Rhinolophus ferrumequinum: one gene and its partners. The protein of the gene in region 3 interacts with the protein of the main gene of each other region in a biochemical or structural test. Links are inferred from orthologs where the notes say so. Each region holds a gene or a part of one and is shown on either strand. Other genes may lie near its edges.

Region 1 (7,560 bases), on a different chromosome or scaffold from region 3:
GGATTAAATGTCAATAGATACAAAGGACTTAGAAAAGTATTTCTGACACGTGGTAGACACTCAAGAAATATTAGCTATTAGCTAGTGTGTCATCCTTTTCCCTTCCCAAGCCCCTTTCCCCCAACCTTATATATCACTGTGACCTGTACCACCTGGCTCCCGATACCTCTCAGATCTCACCTCCCATACCTCCTTCCACTCTGGTCCAGCCACACTGGCCTCCTTCGTGTGCCTTGAACAGGCCAGGCACAATCCCACCTCAGGGCCTTTGCACCAGCTGCTCCTTCTGCCTAGTAGACTCTTCCACTAGACATTATAGCTCCCTTCCTGACCTCCTTCAGGCCTTAATTCAAGAGTCACCTTTTAAGTGAGGCCTGCTCTGCACTTAACATTTCCACCAACTTAATATTCTATCCCTGCCTTCCCTACTTCATTTTTCTTCCTTAGCTCTTGTCTAACATACTATCTAATTTTACTTATTTGTCTTATTTATATAGTCTGTCTCCTCTACTTTTAGCAAATCTCTGTTCCACAAGGGCAGGAATTTCTGCCTATTTTGTTGCCTCTCACATCCCCAGCACCTAGAAGAGTGCCTGGTACTCAGCAGGTGCTCAATGTTTGTTGAATGAACAGTCCCAACTAACTAGCCTCTTAACTAGCTCTCGTGCGCCTGCTTCATATCCATTCCCCCCACCCTGATTTGTCTGAAATTATATTTTCCCCCACTCGTTCACGCAATAAACTCGTATTGAGCACCTACTATATACTAGGTATATTTTTAGGTGCTGGAGACCTCCCAGTGACCAAGCAGACAAAAACTGTAGGCCCTCATGAGACTCCCATTCTAATGGGGAGAGACAACACAATAAACTTCATACAGTGTAACCGATAATGATAAAGGGCAAAGGGACAAATATGGCAGAGAAGGGGCCTGAGTCCTGCGAGGTGTGCAGGTTCAGATGGTTAGGGACGCGTTGATGTTTGAACAGAGCCCCGAAAGGGACCATGCAGAGATTGGGGAGTGTTCTGGGTAGAAACAACGGCCAATGTGAAGACCCTGGGGCTGGATCGCATCTAGTGTGTTTGAGGACAAGTGAGGAGGTCGGTGTGAATGAAACAGAGTTGGGGTGTAGGAGGTAAGGCCAGAGAGGTGACTTTATTAACTCACAAGTATTCTTTATTTACACACTGGAGGGGATTCTAGCTCTGATCCTCCCATTTTACAAACGAGGAAACAAGTGCAGAGAGAAAGTGGTTAAATCACTAAGGACACAGAGCTTCTGGGATTGGGGGTGGATGGGTGCTGAGACAAGGTATGCAATGGAGACAGCTCTGCAGGCAGAGGAAATAGAAAAAAGAAAGCTTGGAGATGGAACTAATTTGTTTTTTAAGGAGTGGGGCCTCACATGGGATTGGATAAAGTGAGAGAGGGGAGCCTCAAAAATTATCCTGTGTTCTGAGGGGCACCCTAACCTGGTACTCACTGGGTCTCCTTTGAGTAAGGCATTTAACCTCCCTATGCTGACGTTTCCTCAGTACCTACCTCGTAGGGTTGTGGTGAAGATTAAATGAGCTCATTAATATAAAACACTCTGCCTGGTCCATAGTAGGTACTCAATAAATGTTAGTCCTATTAGCATTATCACTATTTCTAATTATTCATTTACTGTAGTGAGGCAGGATGTCCTAATGGTTAACAGTGTGCATGAGGGTATGTGTTCTAGAGTCAAAAAGACCTGGCTTCAACAAGCACATGAGCTGATCCACTATTAAGAAGGAGGGAGGAGGTCAGGGAAGCCCATGACTGATTCACCACAAGGAAAGGAGGGGGGAAATAAAAGTACATAGGCCGACCCTCCTGGAGGAGGGATCACAAAGCACTGGACTCACAGGAGGGGAGGGGGTGTAAATGCAAGGACACCAGTTGCAGGAAGGCTAATGAACAGGTCACTGCAAAGGCAGGGTGGTCGTGGTGGTGGTGTAAAGGCTCATTTTATTTACTGGGCCAAGGGGGGCAGAAAAGCACATCGACACCTGCACAACAGTGGAGAGGGGGAAAAACCATCACACAGACTAATTAAAAGGAGAGGGGGACAAGACCATGGAGAGGCTACTGAAAATAGGGAGAGACAAAGTACTAAACTGATCCACTATTAAAAGGAAGGGAGAAGCCCAAGGACTGGAGTGTCAGTCTACAAAAAAGGGAGGACAGGGCAATGGGCTGGTAAGCTAGGGGGATGTGAATACAAGCATGTACACTGACCTACTGGAAAACGATGTGTGCATATGCGTGTGTGTGATAAAGCCATGAACGGGTACACTGGGGGATTGGAGGAGGGAAGAATACAAATTCATAGATTAATTTACTGTCAAAGAGGGGTGTATGGGGGGGCGGTTTACAATGCTACAGATTGATTCACTATAAGGAACAGGAGGGGTGGGACAAAGAAGGCCACTGACAGGGTCCCTGAAAGTTGAGGATAGGAGAAATACACTAAGACAAGACCTACTGTCAAGAAGTTGGACAATGCCAGAGACTGGTCCCCTATAAGTGGGGGTGGGGGCAAGACCATGGACGAGTCCACTATAAGGCAGGGTGGGGAAAAATATAAGCACGCAGACCGATCCACTATAAAACAGGAAGGGGGGTTAGGCCACAGTTAGATCCAGTACAATAGGGAAGGGACAATGCTACAGACAGGTCCACCAGCCGTGGTGGCGGCGGTGGGGAGTCTAACAACAGTAGGCCACGGGCCAAGCCACATCCCTCTCGCTAGGGTGGGAAGGATACGTGGGGTCACTGACCCGGCCCTCTACCCTCCAGGCCAAGGCTCACCTGTGCGCAGCGCAGCAGTGGTGTTGGCAGCTCCGGGGGGCGGGGGCTCCATGCGCGGCCCCACCGCCCCCCAGGCCCGGGCTCCGAGGCGGCGGAGGCGGCGGTGGCGGCGGTGGCGGCGGCAGTGGCGGCGGTGACGGCAGCGGCAACACCTAACAGCCACCCCTGCGTTTCCCCACCGCTCACGTGGGCCCGTAGAGGAGGAGCCGAGCATTCCGCTGCTCGCTGATTGGCTAAACGCCATGGATTGACCGCTCGACTTCGGGCTGGGGAGGCGGGCCCTACCCCATAGAGCTATGCCGTGATTGGCCCAAGAGGAACTGATGGAACGCAGATGGCCGCCAGGATCCCAAGGGGGCGTGCTTGGCCCCGCCCGTGCTACACTCTGATTGGCTCAAGGAAGACTGATAGACCCTGAGCAGTTGACAAGGTTCTGGAGGCGCCTACCTCGCTTTGATTGGCTTATATGTGATTGATGGAAGACAGACCACCTCTGGGAATAGGGGTTAGGTGAGCGGTGCTTTCTGATTGGCAGATGAGGACTCCTAGACAGCTGCCAAAACACGAACGGGGCGGTGCTGCACTCCAGGCTGGTCCCCGGAAGCAGGACTTGTATAGAAGTGGGAGTAGCCAGCCGGGAGGGGGGTCGGGCCTGGGCAATGCGTAGGCAGGGAGGGTAACTCTATGATTGGCTAGAAAAGACGAAAGGAAGGGAGAAGCCCAAGGAATTTAGAACGGAGCAGAGGTAGGAGGGGACGACAGCTGCCGGACACGCAAGGGAGCGTTGAGTGGCGGGAACCAAATGCCAAAGAGGGCTGGGTCGAGCAGCAGTCAGCTATACAGGGACGGAACTTGGCTCTGCATTGACTGGAAGCTGGTCTCAACTTAGAATAGGGGCCGGACCAGGGAGGGTGGGATCCGGCTCTGCGCCCATTGGTGGAAGCTGGAACTTTATAGAAGCAGGAGCAAGGCCAACTTGGGCCGAGACGGCCGTGGGTGTAATTTAAGGTATCCGAGAAATGACTGGGGTGTGGGAGAGGGGTAAACCTTAGGGCCAGAAGTGAAAGGCTGATTACCTTGGGAACAAAACTCCACTCTGAATCGGTCCATTCTCTATGGTAATTGAGTGGTGTCCAGGAAAAGAAAGGTCAGGTGGGGGCTCAGGTTGCCAAGGAGACAGAAGAGCTGGCAGAGCAGTAAGTCAAGTAGCAAATGCTGCCAGGTAACAGGATGGCAGAGAGACTTCAGGGGCACTTTAAAGGTTCCACACCGAGACTGGATCTCTGGGCCTCCTAGCAATTTTGTGGTTCAGAAATAGGCACCTCAGCAAACAGCAGGGGTTAAAGGGGAAAAGAAGGGCCATGTGACTCAAAGGCATTCAGGCTCTTTAATGTCTGGAGAGGGGGGAAGAAGTCAGTGGTGAGGGTCCTCTGGGAAATTCTGCAGGCCCTGTAGTTCTCTAAGCCCCTGAAAAAGAGGACAAAAGAGATAGAACAGAGAGTGGGTCCAGGCCCCACCCCAGGCTTGCTCTGACCTCTCCCTCAGAGCCAGCTTGCTTCTAACTTGGCTCCAGGTCAGAGATCAGATGGACCTTCCAGTCTCTGTCTCTCTCTTCCTCAGGTCACCACCCTAAAAGCATGTGGAGTCTCGGAGTGGGGTGAGTCGCTCTCACCTCTAGCATCATATGGATATGGGCCTTGATATTCATGGAGTCCTTCGTGAGGCTGTCGCTGAGCCTGGAGAAAAGAAACAAGAAAGTACAAAGTGGGCCCCATGATCATGAGGCTTCCTCATCACTTCAAGAACAACCTACATCCTGGATGACTTCCACACGGCCTGTGGCAGGACATCCTACTACCTGACCTGCTCCCATGCAGAGATGCCTGGCCACCATATGGATTGCACTCATTCAAAGACGTTTATTGAATCCCTACTCTATGCCAGGCAGTTTTAGGTACTGGGGAGACAGCAGCAAACACAACAAACAAAAATCTCGGCCTTGTGAAGCTCCAATTCTCATTAAGAGGGACAAATGATGGAATAAAATACATAGTATGTCAGATAGTTCTAAGGACAATGAAACAATTAAACAATGGGAGGATAAGGAGTGCAGGAGTGAGGGCTGCAATTCCGAGAAGTGTTTGATTAAAGACTTAAAATGAAGTGAATCATCTGGATATATGGAGGATAAGTGTTGCAGACACAAGAGGCAGCAAATGCAAAGGTGCTGAGGTGCAGGTGTACCTGGCATGTCTGAGGCACAGCAGAGAGGCCAGTGTGGCTGGAGAATAAGCAAAGGTGAATTGTAGGAGGTGAGGTCAGAGTGGTAAGCAGGGAGACAGATCGTGTAAAACCTACAAAGCCACGGTAAGGACTCTGGCTTTTACTCTAAGTGGGATGGGAGCCAGGCTGTCATCAGAGCAGGGATGTGAAATGACTAGGGTTTACAAGGATCCACCTGGCTGCTGTGTGGAGAACTGACTGGGGAGAAGGAGAGATGATGTAGAAGCAGGAGGTCCATGGAGGAGGCTGCTGCAACAGTCCAGGTGCGAGATGGAAACTCAGACCACAGTGGCAGCAGTTGAGGCAATGAAAAATGATTGGATTTGGGATATATTTTGAAGGTAGAGTCAACAGCTTTTCAAAGGGTTGGATGTTGGCTGTAAGAGAGAGAAATCAAGCAAGACTTCAAGGCCTAAGCAACTGGGAAGCCGGAGTCGCCTGAAACCACTCTGGCCCTGGACTGTTGAGTTACATAAACCAGTCGATTCCTTATATAAACCAATTGGGATCAGTTTCACCCAAAAGAATCCTCATTGACACAAAGGGTCAAGGAAGGCCTTTCTGAAGAATGAAGTAAGAGTTAAAAAGTAGGAGGGTCTTTTCCACAAAAAGTCCAAGAGGCAGGAAAGAGCTTTTTGAGGAACAGTCAGGAGGCCGGAGTGTTAGAAATTAAGTGAATGGTGGAAGAAAAGTGGTACAAGATAAGGTCCAAGAGGTAGGAAGAAGCTAGATCATACAGGATCTTGGTATCATGATAAGGAATGTGGATTTTATTGTGCTGAGCTGTTAATGTAGGAGTCAGTTTTAGGGAAACTAAATACTGTAAGGAAAGGAGAAGGCAACACAGGATGCTAAATTGGAAAAAATATTACAAACCCATTTATACATCAGTATCTCCCAAATTTATGTTTTCAATCCAGACCTCTCTCCTGAACTCCAGTCTTGGGAGTTTTTTCGGGGTTTTTTGCCTTTTAAATTTTTTTTTAATTTATTGGGGAGACAATGGTTAGTAAAATTACATAGGCTTCAAGTGTACAATTCTATAATACATCATCTATATACCACATTGTGTGCTCATCACCCAGAGTCAGTTCTCCTTCCATCACCAAGAGCCCCATTACCCTCTTATATCATCCCCCTCTCCCCTCACTTACCTTCTGGTATCCACCAAACTGTTGTCTGTCTATGAGTTTTTATTTATCTTGTTCTTTTGTTGCTTTCAGTTTTATATCCCACATACGAGTGAAGTCATATGGTTCTCGACTATTTCTATCTGACTTATTTCACTTAGCATAATAATCTCAAGATCCATCCATGTTGTCGCAAATGGCACTATTTCATCTTTTCTTATGGCAGAGTAGTACTCCATTGTGTATATATACCATATCTTCTTTATCCAATCATCTACCATTTGCAACAATATGGATGGACCTAGAGAACATTATGCTAAGTGAAATAAGTCAGACAGAGAAAGATAAGTACCATATGATCTCACTTATATGCGGAATCTAAAGAAAAGAATAAGTGAATGAACTAATCAGAAACAGTTTTGGAGACAAAGAAGAAAAACTGAGGGTTGCTAGATGGGCGGGGGGGTGGGGGTAAAGGGGAAGGTGAGGGGATTAGAAAACAATCAGTAACCACAAGATGGCCACGGGGTTTGAAAATTAATCTGGGGAACGTAATTTAGTGGTTACCAGAGGGTAAGGGGGTTGGGGGGTGGGAGATGAGGGTAAGGGGGATCAAATATGTGGTGATGGAAGGAGAACTGACTCTGGATGGTGAACACATAATGTAATTTATAGATGATGTGATACAGAATTGCACACCTGAAATCTATGTAATTTTACTAACAATTGTCACCCCAATAAATTAAAAAAATAAAATAAAATAAAGTTAAAAGTAAAAAAAATAATAATAATAAATAAATAAATAAAAAGGGAAGTTTCCATTGTTCACAAGATTAATGATAATACATCCATTTTATCATTGAGTTGGATTACAGACAATAAATTATATATGCATTTGTGAGCATGTGTATATATTATATATTGTAAATATATAAATATATGTATATGTGCATAAATATATATGTGAGAAAGAAAGAGAATAAGAAAATATTAACAAGTTGTGTACTGAGTAAAAAGTATAGGGGTGTATTTTACATGGCTTCTACAATTTTTCTCTAAGTATAAAATTGTCTTAAAATTTAAAAAAAGTTTTAAAAAGTAAATACATGGAAATTTTTCATATAGTCTCCATTATTTCTAATTCAAAAAAAAAAAAAGTGATGTATGTACTTTGATGTTCATTGCAGCATTATTTACAGTCTTGGGAGTTTGAACTACATCTTCAAAAACTACACTTCAGTGTTTAACAAGCACCTCACACTTAAAAGGTCCTAGACAGAATTCCTGATCTTCTCCATCTCAGATAATGGC
Region 2 (7,612 bases), on a different chromosome or scaffold from region 3:
TGGCACTCAAGCCTGCATCTGGGGACTCCAGGGCTTCGGCCCTCTCCCTGGACCCCAGTATCTCTAGCTACCATCACTCCTATGCAATGAGCCATCCCAGGACATAGAAGCCACCCCAGGATCAGAACATACTTGCAATCTCTTGCTGCGGTTTTTACGGGCAAAAGTAGAGGACAGGGTTGTTTGCTCTGCTCAAGCCTTTCAAAAAAAATCTGCAGGTTCTGTCTGCTCACAAGGCTGCTGGCAGCTCAGGTTACCCAGCTCTGACTAAGCCTTCCAGAGCACAGTGGCCGGGACACAGGAGCTACTCTGCAACACGAACATGCCTATAGCTTGTGACGTGCCTGCCAGCTCCTGTGTTATCAGATACATATCTGTGATCTCAATTCAGTGCACACTGGTCCTTTCCACAAAACTAAACATGCATGTCTGCTGGGTTTCATGAACGAGCTAGCGTGCCAAAATGGTGACAGGATGTGGCCCTTTTCTTTAATTATAACATCACTTGAGGTCTTTCCACGGGTGGACATCTAATCACATCTAATCAGAGCCTCGTTGCTGGCTGGCCAAGCATTTGTTTGCTTCATGGAAGCTCTGTGGAGCTGCTCCTAATAGCTCAGGCGACGGTGGGTCTCAGCCTCAGAGGAAGTCTCCTCCAAACCACACGCACCCCGGCACCCCTGCCCCCAGCTCAGTCCAGGGGAGTGTAGGTGGGAGGCCAGACGTACACTCGCTTGTGGCTGCACTTGAACTGCACAGAGCAGAGCAGAGACCGCATCCATGCAGAGCTAATTCTTAAGCTACAAGGTTACAATTCTTAGCCTCAAGAGTGTCCATCTTGGTTTTTCCCTTCTAGTTCCTTCTCATCCACTGTGTACAGACCACATAAGTGCAGATGAAAGAAAACAAACCTACTTGAAACCCCAGGCATCAAATGGCTACCGAAAGTGGTCAGAGAAGTGGAGGGCACTGCCCAACTAGGCAGGCAGCCATAGCCCCATGGGTGGGCGAGGGGAGCCCCAGCCTCCAGTCCTCTGGGGGTGCAGCTCTCTGACCTTCCACAGCAGCATGACACGGAAGGAAGAGCCGAGGCCAGAAGTCAGGGTAGACTGGGTCGTTACCTGGCTCTGCTGGCACGTGGGACCTTGGTCCAGGCCGCCCACCACATTCACGGAGCCAGTTCCTTCCCCAGTAAATGTCTAGGACCACACTGAACTCAAAAATCCTACGAGCTCTTGCATCCCCTTGAGAGCTTTAATTCAGTTTTGTTGGAGCTTGGCACCCCAATCAATAGACAACAGCTTCTTGACAGACACATAAAACCCAAAAGCAAAACAAATCACTCTAAGTAGGAATAATACAAGACCTTGTTAATCTTCATAAACATGCTTTAAACTGGGCTTAAGGCATAAACCACTCTGGTTCAGGAAAAAGGCGAAATACTGAAACAATCTTGGACTTCAGTGCTGAAGTCAAGAATGCATTCAGCCAAACTAACTGCAAAGGAATTTAGCTCATTTAATAAGAAACTTCCTATTCATAAATCAAAGAGCATCACCTAATGCCTGGAATAACAGAATGTCAGAGCTTAGAGAAAATCTAGAGCAAGTGACTCATTCAACTGATGGGAAATCAAAATGCAGAGCGGGCAGAAGACGTGGGCAAGGTCACAGAGGCAAAGCAGGGATGGGAACCCACGTCCCCTGAGTCCCCTTGGGTCTGGCACAGATTTAGTCAGCGCTAAGTATCTGATGATCAACGAACTTAAGTGGTATTCCCTACAATGCACAGTTCCTCTAACGGATTCACAAATAAGTGACTTCCAGGTTATAGAGATATCCTAGAACACAAATATTTCAAAATTCGACTTCCAGCTCCTCAGAAGCCAGACTGGAATTTCTCACCTTTTCCACAGAGAGCTAACAATCTCCCTTCCCAACTGAGGGAACTACAGGGCAAAGAAATCACCTCCAGAAACCTGGAGTCTTTCACCTGGTGCCAGCGGAGCAGCCGAACTAACTGTGGCTTTCGTTATGTGTTTACGCCAATTATCAAGTTGACCCATGTCACACACCTTCAAAACCTTGGAGTGGGGACAAGGAAGAGATCTCCTGACAACAGACCCTCTTCCCGCTGCAGAACCGTAAGATCAGAAATCCCTTTTCGGGGAGGGTTTAGAAATGCAGTAACCAGAGAGAGTAATTGGGGTCTAGGAAACTGGTTTGCAAAATATACACAAACGCAAAAAGAACTGGCGCCTGGAGTGAGAGGTGGGTATCGGAGAGGAGACCGAGGCCTGGCCAGAGGCTCGGGACTTTTTTAGGCTGCCAGTTCTCTGGGTGGCGCCTGGGGGTTCAGGGCTCCGGGCTCCGAGCCCCGGGCTGGAGCACCAGGCGAGGACGGAAAGGGGAGCCGGGCTCCGGGGATTTGGGGGCCGGGCGGGGCGGGGTTCCCGGGCGGGGCCGAGGGCGGGGCGGGGGGGCCCGGGCGGCGCGGGGCGGGGAGTCCGCGGTCCCCGGGCGGGTCCCCGCGCGGGTCCCCGCGCGGCCGGCCCACGCACCTCCTCGGCCTGCTTGCGCAGCGCCTTCTCGCGCTCGTACTGGGTGAGCAGCTGCTCGTTGTCCTCGCGCAGCAGCTCCAGCTCCACCTCATGCTCCTGGTTCTCGCTGAGCACCGAGTCCAGGTTCTCCAGCACGTTGACCACGAGCGGCATGAGCTCCTTGACCACCTCCTCATCGTAGCAGTGGATGAGGCGCTCGAACTCGCGGTAGATGGAGCCGGCCAGGCCCGACACTCGCTCCGACATCACCGAGCCGGAGCAGTAGTCGTCCTGATACACCACCACGCCGCCGCCCTCGTCCATCTGGATCTCCATCATCGCGGCCACCGCCGCCGCCAGCGCGGCTCGCTGTCTGCCGGCGCGTCCGCCCCGGCTGCCCGTCGCCCGCGGCCCGTGGCCTCCGCTGCAGCCGCTGTCGCCTCAGGGCTCAGCCGCCGCCGTTGCTGCTGGTCCTGATGCTGCGCCCGTCACTCAGCGGCCGGAAGTCCCGCCCGCCGGCCAGAGGGGGTGGTGCCCGCCGGTCTCGCCGCGGCCTCGCAGCGCCGCGCCACTAGGGGTCGCAGGGGCCGTGACGTACGAGGAAGGTGGTCTCTGGGCCGGAAGCTCGGCCGAGCCGGGCAGGGTGCACTTCCGGTCAGGCTTGTCCGCGCTGCGAGCCGCTAGCGCCTGTCGCCTTAATCGCGTTCCCCTGCAGCTCCCAGACGCCGGCTCACTTTCAAAGTGACTTAGCATCTGTCCCAAGAGCATCTATAGACGGTTGCGTGCGGTTTAAAGACTTAAACGAGCATCCGTGCACCCATCCTCCCTTACTGAGAAACGGACATTCTTTCTGTGCACCCCTCGAGGTGGTGATGGTGCTGACCTGGTTGATTTCCCTTCAGTTTTACTACACAGTAGTGCACCCTCCACACAGGGAGCACTCCAGCTCTTCAAACAGTGGCTCTACGATTCACTGTCCCTCCAGGGGTTCCTGTCACGTGCAAGCTGTCCGTCTCATCCTAAAATCCAGGAACAAGCTTTCACTTAGTCCGCTTCGATGTCCTGCGTTCTGTGTCACTTCCCTCGATTTCCCAGTTTCACTTCAGCTGTGTGTTAGCTGTTTACCTCATCCACTGAGTTTTAAATTTCAACGGTTGTATGTTACATTTCTATTTGTCCTATTTGATTTTCTGAAAGCATGAACCCAAGACTTCAACTTTCAGCTTGGAGGCCACACTGGTAGTGTGAAATTCTAATTTTTTTTAAAAAAAAGCCCATTAGTGACAGCTTCACGCTAACAGAAATGCTCTCACCCCTGCCTTTCACCTAACAAAATGCTTCGAGGTCAGTTCATCCTAAGATCCTCTCATCCTACTCTGATTGCACCCAGTCAGTGAACTTGCCCTAAACGCTAGCACACACGTTTTCCCCTTACAGCCTAATTTGCTCACCCTAATTTGCTAACTAAAAGGTAAAGTGAAGTTTCAGTCTGATTCAGACTGCCTGGGTTTTGATCCTAGCTACTAAGTACATTAATGATCCTAAATTTCCATTTCCAAACCGTAAAACTGAGCCTAAAAACATTACCAACTTACTCTGAATGTTATAAACTAATCCATGAAAGGGGCTTAGAAACGTCTCTTGCAAACGGGAAGCACGTGATAAATGTTATGTAGAATTGTTCAATATCCTCAAAATGAGCCAGGACAAACAGGTGAAATGTTTTCTTGCTGGTGAGCAAGTTACAGAGAAAGTTTGAGAATGTTTTGAGGAATGTTTAAAGACTTCAGCCTTCGGCCTTTTTCAGCAATTTGACCTCTGGCAGCTGCCAGTACCCCAATGAGAAGCCAACTGAGTTGGCCATCAACTTTATGTTTTTATTACTAACGTGGTTAGACTGATTTGTTCCTTGCGATTGGTTAAATCAAAATGAAGTTTTAAGATGATATGCTGGATAATTGTTGATGCTTACTGTCGTGGCACGGAATTAACCCCTGGTCGTTCGCAAAAGGTGAAAGCAGTCCCAGACTCTACAAAGGAAGTTTTTATTAAAGTTAGTGCAGAGAGAATGCCCATGGCAGTGTCCAAAGATGACAGCTGCCTTGGAAGGAAAGAAACACGGGAGTGGGAGTCGCCGCGACAGAGTCCAGAGTCTTAGAGTAGATAGCTATACCAACCTCAGGTTAGCTTTTTCTATATAGGAAAGGGGGAGTCTGGTAGGTTTTAGGGCTGACATCCTTCCTGGGGCCTAGTCTGTTTGAAGACGATGTTATCTCCGGACTCTGGACTCGAACTCGGCCACTGAGGCCTGACACTTTAATGCGTAACCAGTAAAAACTGCAAGAAGTTGTAAATAGGATTCCAGCGTCCGGGCGCCTGAGGATTAAGAAATTGCTCTTTCCCGGATTAGGATATTCATTTACGAGGTAGGGTAGTCTTCAGCAAGGGAACAGAGTTCTTCAGTTAATCAGTGAGGGGAGAAATGAAAACATGAGTATCGGGATAGCTCAAACTGCAAACTAAGTCTAATTACAGGTGGCTAGATAGCAAGCTATGCAGTGAGTTAAACTACAAACCAGCTAAGTCTAACTGCGTTATTGATTCCCTGAATTTCGCCCTTATACTTACTTTAGAATGCAACTAGAACACTCCCGAGAATTGAAACTAACTGAATTAGAACTTACTTCTTAATAGGCTTCCTTTTAGATTTGTAAAGATAATTTGGAATACAACTTTGTTTTTCTCACTACAAGACTCTAAAATGTAAGATGGGCACACAGGTTTGAAAAGTTCTACTTTGATTTCTAAGCATCTGCCTCTAATCCCTGCTAAAGTCACTGAGGTCCCTGTAATGTCCCTCACTTCTTCCTAATGTTTAATTTTAGATAGCACTTTTTAGTCACACATGAAAGAGGAATATTTCATTCTTAATCTCTAAGAATGCTTCAAGATTAAGAACGTAGTGCGTTCAGAAGAAATGAACTGGGTAACACAGGAGGTATACACACCCTTAAAGGTTTGATTGCCAAAGATAATAGAACAAGCTATGCCCTGTCAAAAGAGCCAGTGTTATTTCTGAACAAGGCACAGGACTTGAAGTGGCAATCACTGATGTGCTTCACCCCCACCCCCACCACAACACAGATGGAACTACCTTAGTCCTTTCAGACTTAGCCATTGCCTCACCTCTGGAGACAAACAGCTTGTGACACTACCTCAGTGCTAACCTGCAGCTGGAGTGGCTGCTACAAATAGGTAATGTAATGCTGCCAGAGCCTAATCCAGTTCTTGGAACAAGCTCTGCACTCCCGAAACATGTTTTCAGATGAACAAATGGAGACTGTGTTGGGAACCTCATGTTGGGTTTCTTTCTGAAGTGCTGTCCTGGTAGTCGGCCCCGATTCAGCAGGCAGAATAGTGGAGCCTCTTATAGGGGAACTCTCCAGGTGGGAAGCCTGAGGTTTCAGCCTCCTGAACCCACATCATATGTACATTATGTTTGCTTGTAGGGCATAGGAAAATAACTGTAAGAAGGAAAGATGTTCAATCTGCTTTCTCTGCAGGGCTTGAACCTACAAGCAAATGCTAATAGCTCAGCACCTCATCTATTTATTACAAGGCTTGTCACTGGAGCATTTCAAAGCCAACTCAGAGGCAAGTTCAATACTTTCAGTTCTTTAAGGGAAAAAGTGGTGGAAGAGAAAAAAAATCTTTAACTTATAGAAACTGTAAAGAACACTTGCATATTCCCGCTCATTCTACTCAAAGCTAAGTCTTTGGTTTTCAAATGAAAAAAATCTAAGTCTATAGTCTTTGAGATTAATTTGGGCATCCTCTGGCTAAATGGGGGAAGAAAAAAAAGGCAAACCCCTTCATCAATGAAGGAGCAGAGGTCAGGCACTCTGGAGAATAGATGTTGAGGAAAGCGCAGGTACACACACACTAGGCAAAGATGCTGAGTACCTGATTGCTAAGTTTTATTCAACTGTTATACCCAATTCCACCTTGTAAAAGTAACAAAGTCTTCCTATCAAAATTACATTGTGAGGTGAGTACAGCTTTCTTGTTGTTTTTGATACAGCCCTAGAAAAAAAGTTGGCACCAAATGCACATAAAAAGTTTTTCAGGCTTAATAAAAATACAGACTGGTAATTTCTCAATGCGGCTTAGAGGTTGGGAGCAGGATGCTAAAAGTTAACAAATCTTCCAAATACAGGTGACCACCCCTACCGGGGCTCATGTGAGCACAAACTTGTCTTCTGCCTCTCACGGTGACCAGACCACCCAGGCACTCTAAACGCACTGCTGCAGCCCCAGGAAGGAAAAGGGGGGGAAGATGGGGAGAAACAGAAGGCAGGGAATTGTCACTGCTGCCCAGAGGCTCTTCCTATAGCGCGTTTCCCTCACTCCACCAGGCCTCTCTTCCCATCGCTGCATTCCCCCATCTCCACCCCAGAAATCGCTGCCAGTGGACACAACTAGAGTCTCTCATTCCGCCGACAGTGAGGGTCGGGGTGAAACCCCAAGGGCCAGCACCAGTGTCAGGATTCTTTCTGGCAACCCAATTTGGAATCCACAAATCACTCTCTTGTATTAAAAAATAAGAGTTATAAATTGCAGTTCATTTCCACCATTGGAACATTTCATTATAAGTTAAACTAGTGTGTTTGCGCTTAAAAGCTCACTGCCATTTATGACATTTTGAAATGGGGGAACAAATACTCCGAATTCCAAACAATATTCTTATAAACGACCATTTGAAGGATGGAGACAGGAAGTACTTGACAAAGTCACATGGAGTGAGTGTTTCTTGGCTCCAAAGACAGCAGGGCAACTGAAAGGAGGGAAGACTCTTTGGTTGACAAAGCCACATGCGGATGCCCTCAAGAAGTGGGGCTGTAAGAAGTGGGGCTTGGCAGGCGGCTCGTGCAGGCACTTAAGTGTGTCGCCCGGCCACTGTGAATGTAACTGAACAGTTGTTGCTTTTCTCAATTTTAATAACGACGAAGACAGTTCTAGCACCTGGCATTATTAGCTCTGTAGGCACTTTTAACAGCCACCACCACACGAGTG
Region 3 (7,262 bases):
CTTGAGTCTGACCAAGCCTTGTCTAGATCCAACTATGAATTTTCAGGAAACACAGAGAAACACATTAAATGACATTGCATAGATGTAATCAGGAAAATCCAACAACAGAAATGCTACAGAACAACCCAATCGCTTCAACAAATAAAATACAAGGAAAACAAAAACAGAAAAAGAGGGGGAATCTACAGATTAAAAGACATTTAAAAGACCTATCAACCAATCACAATGTATAGACCTTATTTTGGATCCTGATTCCAATAAACAAACTATTACAGAAACTCTAAAATGTATGGGACAATGGGAAATTTGAATATTGACTGGTTATTTGGTTATATTAATTTTTGCTTTTCCAAGTTTAAAAGAGTCCCTATCTTTTACAGACATATACTGAAAAATTCACAGATGAAATGACCTATATAGAATTTGCTTGAAAATAATATGGAGGGTGAGGGTGTAAGTAGATGAGATTAGGGATGAAATAAGATTGACCAGGAGTTGATAATTTTTGACACTATTCTGTTTTTTTGTTTTTTGTTTTTTGTGGTTTTTTTTGGTATATATGTTTGAAGGTCCTCATAATAAATTGCTGAAAGAAAGGCTGGTGTTGAAATTAGTTCACACAATCACAAAAGGCCAAGTACAAATTGTAATCTACCAACAAATTATGTAAAGTCCTGGTATCCTGAAAATTAAATCCTCAGGAAAATCAAAGTTCTCCATAGAAGAGAACCTTTGATCCTTCAATAATCCTATGCCAAAATAGGATTATTGTTAACCAGGAAGGATCCTTATGAAGGAAAAAATAAAGAGTTAAATGAAGGAAAACACCTAGATTGGATGTTGTTCTTCCAGAACAACTTAAAAGCCAAAGAATACTCACAGCTGAGGGACCCAGGAAAGAATGATGATCTGGGGGAGACCTGGGTTCAAATTTCACCTCCCAGTAACCTGCAGTAAAGCAGACTACTGAGATTCTGTGAGTCCCCATTTCCTCTGTAGAAATGGGTTTCATAGCTGCCACTTACAGGGCTCCAGTGACAAGTAAATGAGAGTACCTGGACAAACTAGCTCCCTTGGCCTCAGGCTACCTTTCTAGCTCATTACAGCTCTTCCCGCCTCAGTAACTTGCCCTAGAAGTTGATAATCCTGCAACCAAGCTTAATGAAATGTTTTTTGCTTGGCTCACAGAATTAAAAAAAAAAAAAAAGGCTAAATTAGCTACTGCCAACAGTTAAAAAACTGGAGAGTAGAGTTACAAATTTAGAGTTCAGGCTTCTTTTTAAAAATTACTGGGTGAGGTCTGGTTCTCGAGTCCCGTTCCCCCCTGCTGCCCCCCAATGTCTTACAGGTGGCCCTACGGGCTGATTCTTGACCCCACACTCGCTAAGCTCCCTCCTTCTCCCTGCCCTTCTCCAGTTCTTTGCCTCTCCTTGCCTGGCAAATTTCTCATCACCCTTCAAGGCCCAACGCCAGCATCACCCGTCACATTCCCTACATTTCCGTGGCATAATCCCTCCACTACAGTGGGCATCACACCGTCCTGGCACTGTCTGCGTGTCTGCCTTCATGGCTGCATTCTCCGGCTCTCTAGAGGAAGGGACCTTGTCACTATTGCCTTTGTGTCCCCAAGGCCGAGCAGAAAGCCTGACCTAAATAATGTAGAATTCAGTAAATGCCTCCTGAATGTGTGGAAGGAAATTAGAGCTAAAACATTATAAAAATGTATGATTTTTCTATCATAGCGTGTTCTGAGTGTTACCAAATAAAGGGGTCAAGAACATTAAAATGTTTCACAAAATGAGAACAAGCTTCTATCTGCTTCCATGTTTCACAAGTTAGTCGGAAGTCATTAAGTGAACAGATAAAGCAGAGGTAACAGGCAGGCAGGGTCATTCATTCATCCACTGAACTGATACTACTGAGTATTTACTGTGTGCTTTCTAAGCACTGAGGATAAAGCAGTGGGTAAATCAGACAACTACCTGTTCGCACAGAGCTACTGAACAAAATGATAGATAAAATGACTAAGGGATGAAAGAGGGTGGTCAAGGAAGGCCTCCTGTTAAATGAGACATCTGACCAGAGGAAGAACCAGGAGCCAGATGTGCAGATCCTGGAGACAACTGCAAGCACTGGAAACACCAAGTGCAAAGGTCCTAAGGTAATGGGGCTGCATGTTTAGGGTAGGTGGCTGGGATAGGAAAGCAGTGTTCTGGTCGGGGTTGGAAGGGGAGGTGGGTGGGACCCACTCTGGTCTTGCTGGGTACCGAGTGAGCAATGACGAGGCACAGGAGGACGGAGATGGGGGACTCTGGGAGGACGGTGAGGGGTTCCTGCCACACTCACACCGGCAAGGGGCAGTGCCCCGCCCAGTTCTCCAGGTTTGTGCACTGAGCTCCAGCCCAGGCGCTTTCCCACACATTCATAGAGCCTGACAACAACCCTGTCCCAAAGGGCAGGCACTTCCCCACTTTCCCGAGGGGAAAACCGAGAACAGCGAGCGTCAGTGCCATGGCCAAGGTCGCAGGAACCAGACCCGGCTCCTGAGCATCCCGGCATGGGTGTGCAGCTGCGTGCCGCACATTCGGGAGAGGTGGCGCCCACAGACCCCACCGGGGGCCGCTAGGAGCCGTGCCAGCAAGAGCCCGCAGCCCCGGGCTGCTGACAGCCGGCGGGCGGGGAGACTGCGGTAGCCCGAGGGACAGGGGCAGCAGACGGGCCTCCAGCGGCCGCAGACCCCGGCCACACCGCCCACGCCCCCCGCAAACCCTCCCGCCGCCCTTCCCGGCGGGGCGCGGCCCGAGCAGCCCCCGCCAGGCCTAGCCCGCCGCCGGGCTCACCTCGCCTCCCGCCGCCGCGCCGGGGGAGGGAGCGAGCGGGCAGACTGCCGGCGCTGGCGGCTCTTGCCCCGGGCTCAGCCGGCCACCCCGCCCGCTCCACCCCGCCGCCGCCGCCGCCGCCGCCGCCGCAGTGGGTGTGAGGGGCGCCGGGGCGATTCGACCCTTCCGGTCCGGCTCCCTTCGCCACCGCCACCGCCACCGCCGCCGCCGCTGCCGCCGCCGCCGGAGCCCCACCTGAGCGACCCGCACGCTGACCAATCATCGCGCCGAGAAGCGGGCCGGCGCGGCCAATGGTACCGGGGGGCGGGCCGCTGCCGAGGGGCGGGTTGCTGCGGAGCGTCGGGTGGAGCCCGGCGGGCGGAGACCAGGGCTCGGTGCGGGTTCCCGTGGTTCGGGCGGTGCGCGGGGGGTCTAGAATTGCAGACACGATCCGGCGTTCCCACTGAGTGTGCTGTCCCCCACGGGGTTCGCAACGCGGTGGCTGGATGCGGAGCCGGGAGGCGGCGGACCGGCGGGACCGAGAGCCGGGCCTCGCGGCTGCAGGTGCAAACTAGCAGCGACGAGGCGGTCTGGAGGGGGACGGAACGGCCTGGAGGGGGAGAGCCAGGGGCCTCGGTGCTCAGGACCCGGGCGTGTGATGGCTCCCGGGAAGCGGAGGCGGGGCGGCGAGGGAGTGGGGAGGAGAGGTGGGTCCTTGGACTCGCTGTGAACCGGATTGTAGGGATGCGGCCAGAAGCGGGGGTTGGGGGGTGGGATGCCGAGGAGATGGCCATGTGCAGACGAGTGTCCCCTGCCGGTCATTGGCAGAGGGAAGGAGAGAACAGGCCGGTGCACTTGGTCAGAGGTCAAGCCTGTTTCAGAGGAGGGCAGGGTCGTAAATGGGGGGAAGTGAGTGCAGTGCTGAGGGCCCCCTAGGGCCTGGGGTCGGTTGACATTGATATTTTGAGGCACCTCCCGCAGCCTTGCAGCCCCTGGGTCGAGTTCCAGACGGCCTGGCATCCTCTGAAATGATGGGAGAGGCCAGGGTACTGGGTGTTGCCCGGTCGTTTAGATAAACAACGGTGGAAATGAGGCCAGGAGGCCGGACACATTGGGGGTGGGGGTGGGGCGCAGAGGTCCTTAGATGGGGTGAGAGGACTGTTGGAGAGTAGCTGTCACAGGATGTCTGGGCCTACAGGGTGGCCAGTGTGGTGGACAAAATGGGGAAAGAAGCAGCACCTTGCATATGGGGAGGTCAGGAGACAGGAGGGTATGGAAGGTGGTGACAGAATTTGGGGAGGGCGGCAAGCCTGTGACCCAGAGCAGGCTGGGGGCACCAGAGCCTCAGAGGAGGGGTGGGGTAGAGCAGGGGATCCAGCCATGCTATCTCTCTTAGGCCCCCCTCCTTGGCCACCAGAGGGAGTTTTCTGAAATTGCGTATGGCCTGATCGACTTCAAATTGGAGCTCCTGAGTGTGACCTGTATTGAGGAGGGTCCACAAAGGTCCTCCCACCCCTCAGCCTCACCTGCCACCTGCCCCAGGTGCACAACAGAAAACAGGGAAGCAAAATTTTCACCATCAAGGCTTATGGAAAACTAATGAAGTCTGGCTGTCAGCTGTGATTTTACCTGGGAGCACTTCTGGGTGCTTCCCCTCAGATTAGGTGGGACACTCATTCCTAGACACTCCAGCCCTGAGTTTACAGCACTCACCCCATGCAAAGTGAATACCAAAAACCATTGTACATACATAGACACCTGTACGTATTTAACACTGAGTTTTCTGAAAGGGTTCTGTTTTTTTCTGGTTTGTGAAATACAGTGAACAGAGCAGTGACGGTTGGTCCATGCTTGAAAGAGTGCGCAGAATTTTGAGGCCAAGAAGCGAGAAGATTCTGCGGCAAGTGTGATGAGAATTTTAGGACGTGAGAGCTTTACTGAGGGCTGATGGAGCCTGCCAGGTGGGAGAGGCAGTTGAGGAAGGCCTCCTGCTCAGGAGGAAGCAAGCCCCAGCTGAAGCTGGGAAGGCCGCAGGAATGTGCTGGGCCAGGGGTTCAGGTGGAAAGGGCATTCAGACCCAAAGGTTCAGAAGTGAGGACCTGCATGCTGTGTTCAGGGAACCACATCACCTGGTTTTGCTGGAGACAGGGAGTGGGGGCTGGAGAGTTATGAGAGCCTTGAGGTGGAGGGCAATGCTGACTAGAGGCCCCTGAGCTGGCTTCAGCTCAATTATGCCTTGTTTAGCCCAGAGAGGCTTTTTTGTTTGTTTGGTTGGTTTTTTGTTGTTGTTGACTTAGTTGCCAACATTTAAAAATTGGGAGCTTTCACTTAAAAAATCTCAATTATTGGTTTTGCTTAAAAAGTTAGAAGTTCTGGCAAAATGGGCCCTGCATTTCCAGAGGGCAGTGATCAGCTGGAACTGAGTGGCACCTACTACGTTTTAGGCGAGGCCCCTCGTTTACCACAGTCCCCTCTACTCCCTACTATCCACCCCGGCTGCGACTTCACTCATCCCTTCCCTGCTGGCCCTTGGGCCATCACAGGGTGGGAGCCCTGGCTGAAGAGGTAAAGAGCAGCTGTTGAAGGGTGTTAAGAAAGGAAGTGAATAATGTGATTAGATATTTATTTTGGAAAGATCACTAGGGCACATGACATTTCAGGGATGAGGGTCTCAAGGCCACAAGACCAATTAGGGATTTCTTACAAAGGCCCTTGAAAGAGAGAAGATGAGGCCTAGCCTGGGGCCATGGCAGTAGGTGTCAAGAGGAAGGAACTGATCTTAAAACTATTTCAAGACTTTAGGGAAATGCAAATTAAAATCACAAAAAACTACCACCACACACCCACTAGGATGGCTATAATAAAGACAATTATCAACTGAATGCTCATACACTGCTGGTGGGAAAGCAAAATTGCATATCCACTTTGGAAAATAGTTTGGCAGTTTCTGATCACATTAAACATATACCTACCATACGACCCAGCTACCCTTTTCCTAGGTGTGTATCTGAGAAAAATAAAAACGTCCACGCTAAGAGCTGTATGTGAATGTTTATAGCAACTTTATTCAAAACAGTCAAAAACTGGAAACAACACATACGTCCATAATCCAGTGAGAGGTTGAACTGTGGTACGGCCATCAGTGGCTTCTCGAAACCTGGCCACAGGAAGGACTGGCCTGCTGACAAGAGCACAATATGGATAAGTAACAAAAACAACATGCTAAGTGAAAGCAGCCAAACATAAGTGAATTGTCTATGAGTCCATTTATATGACATTCTGGAAAAAGCAAAATCAGATCAGGGGTTGTCAGAGGTAAAGTGGGGGGAGGGGAATGACTACCAGGAGCCAAGGGAGTTTTCTGGGATGATGGGTATGTCTATATTTTAATTATGGTGGTGGTCACATGACTATTGTTTGTCAAAACTCAGAACTGTACACTACAAAATGGTGACAATGTATGTAAATTAAATAAACTTGATGTAAAGAAAACGTTTAAGAGGTGGAATTGTCAAGTGTTAGAGGTGGGATGGGAGGGGGAGGGGGTAGGGCTCAGAGAGGACGCCATGCTTCCTGGCTTGGTTTTCCGAGTGAGGACCTGGGCTTGGCCTGCTCATCCTGCCTAGAGCAAGGCCTTTGGAGCCGACATCCCAGCTGCCCACGCCCCGCCCCTCCCCCCTTCCTGTCGCCTTCAGCTCTGTGGCCCTGGCTGGGTGCCCTCTGGGATGCAGGCTACTGCCTCTTCCCTACTCCTGAGACCTCACTGCCCCTCCCTTCCCTGCCCTTGACTTGGCTCCTTGGTGGCACAGCTGGCAGACATTGCCCACCTCCCCTTCCCACACGTGGCCTCTTCACCAGGGAGAACACAGGAGGAAGGAAGAGCTCTACTGCCACTTCCTGGGTGGGGGGTGCCAGGGGTTGCAGTGCTGGGCTGGGGGCACAGTGCTGACAGGTGTCCATGGCTCCGATCTCATCGTCTGCCCTTGACTGGCCTGGGTTCCAACAGGGCTCTCGACTTAGTTGTGCTTTTCTGAGCACAGCATTCTCTTCTCTGAGCCTCAGCTCCGTGGGGAGTGGGCATGGGTGGTGGTCCCAGCCCGATGGGGATGCTGCAAGGACTCAAGGGGAGAAGTGCCAAGTGTGGGGCACAGACCAGCGAACCATGCGCACAGTGGGGTCAGTATGCTCGTGATGGCGTCCTCCAGCCCCTCCCCCACCCCTTACCAGGACCACAGATGTGTAGGGGATGCAAGTCATGACTTTTTCAGGTGTGTGTTTTAGAAGGCCACGCCACACTTAAGCTGATGGGGACAATTACTGAGAAACTCCTGCATTGTTGCATGGGCGTTGGGGTGGGGTGGGGGAGGCAGAGGTAGAGCCGGCCTCAGGACTACAGGCTGTAGAGCCAGGCTGGGGCCTTGGAAGTGATGGGCAAACTGTCCA
Region 4 (6,420 bases), on a different chromosome or scaffold from region 3:
GGGAGGTAGCTGGCAGGCCAAGGGTTCCTGGGGGAGGGCCTCTCTGATTCTCAGCCTCTTCCTGCCCAGCTGCCTGTCCACACCCAGGGGCAGGGACGCGGGATGTTGGGTGCTGTGACTTGTGGGTTCTCGCCCTGTCCTGCCCACCAGCTGACTCACACACAGCCCCCAGCCCAGTTTCCTGGTGAGGGCTCCACTGGTCAGTGGGGCCGGGGGAGGGGGGTCACCAGGCTATTTATAAGAAGGAGAAGTCCCTCATGTCAGGACCAAAAGCCCCAGAGAGACCCGTGGGTGGGGGTGGGTGAACTTCCCCCTTATCCTGTCCCCCCACCCCATGCCCTGGGCCCCTGGATGTGGGGGAAGCCTGGGCACAGAGTCCTCCTACAGATGCTGGTCTGGAGCCCAGGGGCTGGGCAGTCCCCAGCTGACAATCTGGGCACCCAGGCCAGGCGGGGGAGGGGGCTATCCTCACACCCTCTTCACAGGGCCCTTGGCGCCAGTGGGGCGGCGTGAGGGGGTGGTGCCCAGGCCACAAGGGTGAGACTGGCAGGGGCCTGGAACCGGCTGTACCAGCTCAGCTGGGCCCCCGCCCTCCCTCGCTGGCCTGATCCCCACCCCCTGTTCAAACACCCATGCAGAGTACATGGAGCCACCCGACCCCACTCCAACATGCTGGGCTGTCTCCCCACCCACCAGCATCTCTCCATCCTGTGCCCAACTCCATTGCTCTCCAGATTAAAGGAGACCCTTCATGAAAGGGTCTACAGAGCTTGGCATCCAGTTGGTACTGCATAAAAGCCTCTCTGCTTGTGATTATTCACAGTGTAGTGGCTAATGCTCTGGATCCAGACAGCTAGGGTTATATCTCGACTCCAGCACTTATAGCTGTGGGCCATCAGGCAAGTTCTTTACCTTCCTGTGCCTCAGTTTTCTTGTCTGTTAAATGGGGGTACATAGCATGCATTTCTCTGGGTGGTTGGAAGCAGGCAATGAGTTATTCTACGTAAACCACTTAGAAGAGTGCCTGGCCCATGATAAGAGCCATGTAAGTGTTAGCTATTAAAATAATAATTACTATTTCTCAGTCTGTCTGCCTATCTTAAGTGTCTGAATCTTGCTGTCTGTCTGCATGACGTTAACCTTGCCCCGGGTTTGTCTCTCTGGCCATCTCTCCCTGCCCTGACCCCTGCCTTCATACACCCACTTTTCCTTGCTGAGTCCTTGCCCTCCATCTGGATCCTCTCTGGGCTGGCCTCACCTCTTTCCAAGACTCCCCTGGCCTGGCCTGCCTCAGCACTGGCCAGGGCTGACTCACTGTGGCCTCCTGGCCTGTGAGACCTGCAGGTTGGCTTCGTGAGATGCTGCCCTCTGGCCAGACCTGCCCAGCCCCCCAACCTTGCCTACTGCACCCCCGCAGGGCCCAGGCCAGATGTCAGCTGCAGTTATTAGCATGGGCGGGAGACATAGGCCTTGGCAGCCTGCCGGCCAGACTCAGCGGGCCGCCGGAATCTCCCTTGAGCCTGGGGCGGGGTAGGGGAGCAGTTCAAACAAGGGGAGGAGGGAAGGGGGCAACCAGGGGTCACAAGGACCTCCAAAGACCAAAGACAAGGGACACCCCCAGCTTCTCATGGGACCTTCCTCCCAAGCACCACTGCTCTACTGGACTTCCCCCTACCCCCACACAGCTCAGTTTCTCTTTCACCTCTTTCGTTTTCCTTCTCTCCCCCACCATTGGTGAGCTCTGTGCCTGTTGTACAAAAACTGGCTAGCTCCATCCTCAGCCTCTACCCTAAAGAAACTTCCATCATTCCAGAAGATACAGGCCTCTCAGAGAGAGAGAGAGACTGAGCTTCTCACCTCTTGTTCTAGTGGCTCACATCCTAACTGCTTGGAAGTCCCACCTTAAGTCTAACTAGAAACCTCACCATCTAAACACCCACTCAGTCCTTAACTGGGGAAGGGGCTCTGGGTTTCCCCAGATTCTTCCCTTGGATTCTCAGGTCTCTTCTGACTGGAGGGAAGGGGAGCCCTCAGATAAAAGAGATATCCTGTGGAGGAAGGGAACCCCTCCCAGGTATTCTGGATGGTTGACGGAACCCCCAAACAAAACAAGAGTAGGGGCGCTTGCTCACATGAGTGAAGGAGGGGGCATCCCAGCCCCTAAGGGTGTTTGTGGGGAGGAGTCCCACATCTGGCAAAAAGGAAGGTACCCGCCCGAGGGAGGAGGCAAGCCTTGCCAGCCCGCCCAGGCGCCGGGGGCGCCTGGAGGCACTGACCCGCCTTCTCCGCGCCCCGTCGGGCCGGGGGCGAAGTCCGACCCAGGCCCGCGGACAGGCGGGGACCTGCCGGGCTGGGTCGGGCCAGGCCTAGCAGGACGCCGCCCCAGAGCGACTGGGTGGGGCTGGGCCAGGCGGCCGTGGGGGCCCGGAGGCGGCGGCCGAGGCTGGTCGGGACTAGCCGTCCGGGGGCCCCGGCGCGCCCTGGGACCTGGCAGATACCAGGGCTCCCGGCTCCTGGCTCGGGTCCCCGGGACAGCGCTGGCCCCACCCCTTCCTGTGCCCTTATATGGGCGTCAGGGAGAGACTCCCGGGGATCGCCCCGCCCCCAGCCAGCGCACGGACTCTGGCCTGTTGCCATAGCGACCAGGCCCGCTCTTGGGTGCGTCCCCCTCTGTCGGGCCAATGGAATAGTCCCCGAACTGTCTGCCTCCGAGATTGCGGGCGCCACGGGCTGAACCACATTGCTGGGCGGGGGGAACAGTGACTGGAGGCCTCTGCAGCTGGGCGTGTTCGGCGCACCCAGGCCTCAGCAGTGGTCGCGCTCCCAGGTTCCTCATCCGAGGCGCAGAACCCCGCCGGACCCAGGGCGGGGCGCACGGTCCAGTAGGATCCGAGTGACGGAGGCCGGGCTGGGCTCCGTTCCCCAGGGCTGTTGCCACATTTCCTGCCGCGAAGCTCTTCCCAGGCCTTTTCTAAGGAAGGAGTGGGGTTGGGTGACCGCGCCCAGGCCGGCGGGCTGGGTCCAAGCACCAGGAGCCGACTCGGTGTCGGTCAAGCCCACGGTCACTGGGGAAAGGCTTTGGGATGGGGACAGAGTATACAAAGACCTCAGCAGGAAGGTCACCCAAAAGAGGGGGCTCCAATCATGGAAGATCCAGCAGCCCAAGTCCCCAGGATCCTCAAAGACCCCGCCTTTCCTCATGTCTCAACCGGGGACCCTCTGTCATTGGCATCTCAGCTCTGAAAGTGTGCTCTGACCCTAATTCTACTTCATCAGGGCTTTGCAGATGTCTCCAGTGACCCCCTTTTCTACCCCACATATTTTCTCTGAGTCAGTGTACCCCAGGACCCTCACTCACTTTCTGCATATCTAGATTCCCCTAGTGTCCCCCCTTCCCATTTGTGGGGGACCCTCTGTCTCTCCCATGGACTCCAGGACCCCTACTCATTTCTTGCATAATGGGTCCTCAAGCCTCTCCCAGTGTACCCTTTTCATTTCTCCTCCTCCCCAATTTTCCTGGATTCAGTCGCTCCCATGAAAATCCCAGTCCCTCAACCCCTGGTACTTGGGACCCCCACACAATTCCTGTGTCAGGCCTCTCTTTACCCCTTCCCCTGCTTAACCCTTCCGTCTCTCTTTTATGGGGTCTCCTAGCGTATTCTCAGCTTTCCAACTCCTTTTGGATACTCCGGGTCCTTCAGGTCCTTCTATGTACAACCTGGGACACCCCCCCTCCCCAAACACACACACACACACTTGCTCTGTATCAGTTCCTCATGTCCCTCATCGCGTACTTCAGGGGTATCATCATCCACCCTGGAGCCCCTCCTCGGGTGCCTCGGACCGCCCCAGCACCCCCTTCCTCGCGCGTCCCGGGGTCCCCTGAGCCCCTCCCCCTACAGCATAGCCAAGCCACCCAGCCCGTGGCCGCTGTTTACAAGGACACGCGCTTCCTGACAGTGACGCGAGCCGCCTCCTCCCCTTCCCCACGCTCGAGGAGGGGGGCGCGGGGGCCCGGCTCGCGCGACGGCCAATCGGAGCTCACTTCCGCAGCTGATAGTCGTGGTATAAAAGCGTGTGGCTCTGGCTGAGCGGCCGGTACCTTGAGCGCGGCAGACCAGCGTCTGAGCAGCAGGGAACGGGGAGCAGGGGTAAGCGACACGGAGAAAGCGAGCGCGCCAGAGAGGGGCAGAGGGGCTGGAGAAGCCGCACAGAGCTTCCGCGCAAGGCGGCCGGGTGGCCTCTCCCGGCGGGTGCCGGCACCCAGGGCCGCGCGTCCAGACAGTCAGTCCAGCCACCGCCGCGGACAGAGCACCGCTCGCAGCAGCGAGGCCCGGGGCGGCCCCGCAGGGACCCCCCCAGACCGCCCGGGCCGCCCGGATGTGCACTAAAATGGAACAGCCCTTCTACCACGACGACTCATACGCAGCGGCGGGATACGGCCGGGCCCCGGGCGGCCTCTCTCTACACGACTACAAACTCCTGAAACCCAGCCTGGCGCTCAACCTTGCCGACCCCTACCGAAGTCTGAAAGCGCCTGGGGCGCGGGGCCCCGGCCCAGAGGGCAGCGGTGGTGGCAGCTACTTTTCCGGCCAGGGCTCGGACACAGGCGCGTCGCTCAAGCTCGCCTCATCGGAGCTAGAGCGCCTGATCGTCCCTAACAGCAACGGCGTGATCACGACGACGCCCACGCCCCCGGGACAGTACTTTTACCCCCGAGGGGGTGGCAGCGGTGGAGGTGCGGGGGGAGCGGGGGGCGGCGTCACCGAGGAACAGGAGGGCTTCGCCGACGGCTTTGTCAAAGCCCTGGACGACCTGCACAAGATGAACCACGTGACACCCCCCAATGTGTCGCTGGGCGCCAGCGGGGGCCCCCCGGCGGGGCCTGGGGGTGTCTACGCGGGCCCGGAGCCGCCTCCTGTCTACACCAACCTCAGCAGCTATTCCCCAGCCTCTGCGCCCTCCGGAGGCGCCGGGGCCGCCGTCGGGACCGGGAGCTCATACCCGACGGCCACCATCAGCTACCTCCCACACGCGCCGCCCTTCGCTGGCGGCCACCCGGCACAGCTGGGCCTTGGCCGAGGCGCCTCCACCTTCAAAGAGGAACCTCAGACCGTGCCTGAGGCGCGCAGCCGCGACGCCACGCCGCCAGTGTCCCCCATCAACATGGAAGACCAGGAGCGCATCAAAGTGGAGCGCAAGCGGCTGCGGAACCGGCTGGCGGCCACCAAGTGCCGGAAGCGGAAGCTGGAGCGCATCGCGCGCCTAGAGGACAAGGTGAAGACACTCAAGGCGGAGAACGCAGGGCTCTCCAGCACTGCCGGCCTCCTCCGGGAGCAGGTGGCTCAGCTCAAACAGAAGGTCATGACCCATGTCAGCAACGGCTGCCAGCTGCTGCTCGGGGTCAAGGGACACGCCTTCTGAGCACCCCTTCCCCGTACGGACATTCCCCCAGCCTGGACGGCTGGGCGCACGCCTCCCAAGGGGCAAGGGGGCAGGCGGTGGGCACTTGCCCCGGGGTATGGGGGCGGCGAAAACCACACTGGACTCCTGCCCGCCGGCTCTGCGCCCAGTCCTTCCACCTCGACGTTTACAAGCCCCCCTTCCGCGTTTTTTTGTATTTTTTTTTCTGCTGGAAACAGACTCGATTCATATTGAATATAATATATTTGTGTATTTAACAGGGTGGGGAGGAGGGGGCGATCGCGGCGGAGCTGGCCCCGCCGCCCGGTACTCAAGGCTGCGAGGACTCAAGGGAGGGGCCCCGCCCCCTGCCCTCCCCCCCTGCACCGTACTGTGGAGAAGAAACACGCACTCAGTCTCTAAAAAGTTTATTTTAAAATGTGTTTGTGTGTGTGTGTGTGCGTTTGTTCTGACTTTTTATTGAATCTATTTAAGTAAAAAAAAAAAGGTTCTTTATTAATTTCTGTTGTCTTTTTTTTCGAAGCCGGGCGGGCGGAGGGAGGAGAGTGTTGAGCTGCCCACACCCCACTGCTGTTTGTGGCTCGCTCCGGTATTTGTGTCCCTTCGCCAGCTCTGCCCAGGCATTTCGCAGCTCCAGCCCGGGTGTCCAACCCTCCTCGCGTACCCTGATCCCGGGGGCTGGAAAGTCCAGGGCGCGGACCGGGCCCAGCCTCCCAGGACCTGGGAGCAGGATGCCTGGGGCGAGATGTGCAGTGCGCAGGCGCAGCCCCGTCCACTGGCTCGGGCCGGGGCTTTCCCCGCTGACGCAGCGGAAGCGCTGCCCATATATGGGCCGATTCTGCCCAGTGACGCGACGGCGGTCTCCGGGCAGATTCCGGGAATCCCCTCCCCCGCTCTGCCCGGCAAGGCCGCGGCGCCCGGAAGGAGGCCGGGATTTTCCCAGGCGGGTGGCTGCTTGGGCCCGGAAAGCCCCAGGCCTGAGTCCAGAGCGTCCAC

The links.
Region 1: of the proteins of MAPK9 (region 3) and ELK1, one has a biochemical effect on the other in vitro, tested with the Homo sapiens proteins (2 studies listed by BioGRID). The link is inferred for Rhinolophus ferrumequinum from reciprocal best matches to the Homo sapiens genes MAPK9 and ELK1.
Region 2: the proteins of MAPK9 (region 3) and MAPK8IP3 form a complex in vitro, tested with the Homo sapiens proteins (2 studies listed by BioGRID). The link is inferred for Rhinolophus ferrumequinum from reciprocal best matches to the Homo sapiens genes MAPK9 and MAPK8IP3.
Region 4: the proteins of MAPK9 (region 3) and JUNB form a complex in vitro, tested with the Homo sapiens proteins (2 studies listed by BioGRID). The link is inferred for Rhinolophus ferrumequinum from reciprocal best matches to the Homo sapiens genes MAPK9 and JUNB.

What each region holds. Positions count from the first base shown.
Region 1 is NC_046284.1:86,334,052-86,341,611, reverse strand, and holds the start of ELK1 (ETS domain-containing protein Elk-1), read right to left. Parts: upstream 3,020-7,560; 5' UTR 2,918-3,019; intron 2,875-2,917; exon of another isoform or gene 2,874-2,874; 5' UTR 2,837-2,873; intron 1-2,836. Other genes in the region: protein UXT, read right to left, coding at 4,250-4,303, 4,509-4,572. UniProt on the Homo sapiens protein: Transcription factor that binds to purine-rich DNA sequences. Forms a ternary complex with SRF and the ETS and SRF motifs of the serum response element (SRE) on the promoter region of immediate early genes such as FOS and IER2.
Region 2 is NW_022680357.1:3,490,141-3,497,752, reverse strand, and holds the start of MAPK8IP3 (C-Jun-amino-terminal kinase-interacting protein 3), read right to left. Parts: upstream 3,007-7,612; 5' UTR 2,879-3,006; coding exon 2,561-2,878; intron 1-2,560.
Region 3 is NC_046307.1:3,355,574-3,362,835, forward strand, and holds the start of MAPK9 (mitogen-activated protein kinase 9), read right to left. Parts: upstream 3,001-7,262; 5' UTR 2,841-3,000; intron 1-2,840. UniProt on the Homo sapiens protein: Serine/threonine-protein kinase involved in various processes such as cell proliferation, differentiation, migration, transformation and programmed cell death.
Region 4 is NC_046301.1:48,779,463-48,785,882, reverse strand, and holds JUNB (transcription factor JunB), read left to right. Parts: upstream 1-4,085; 5' UTR 4,086-4,380; coding exon 4,381-5,424; 3' UTR 5,425-5,919; downstream 5,920-6,420. UniProt on the Homo sapiens protein: Transcription factor involved in regulating gene activity following the primary growth factor response. Binds to the DNA sequence 5'-TGA[GC]TCA-3'.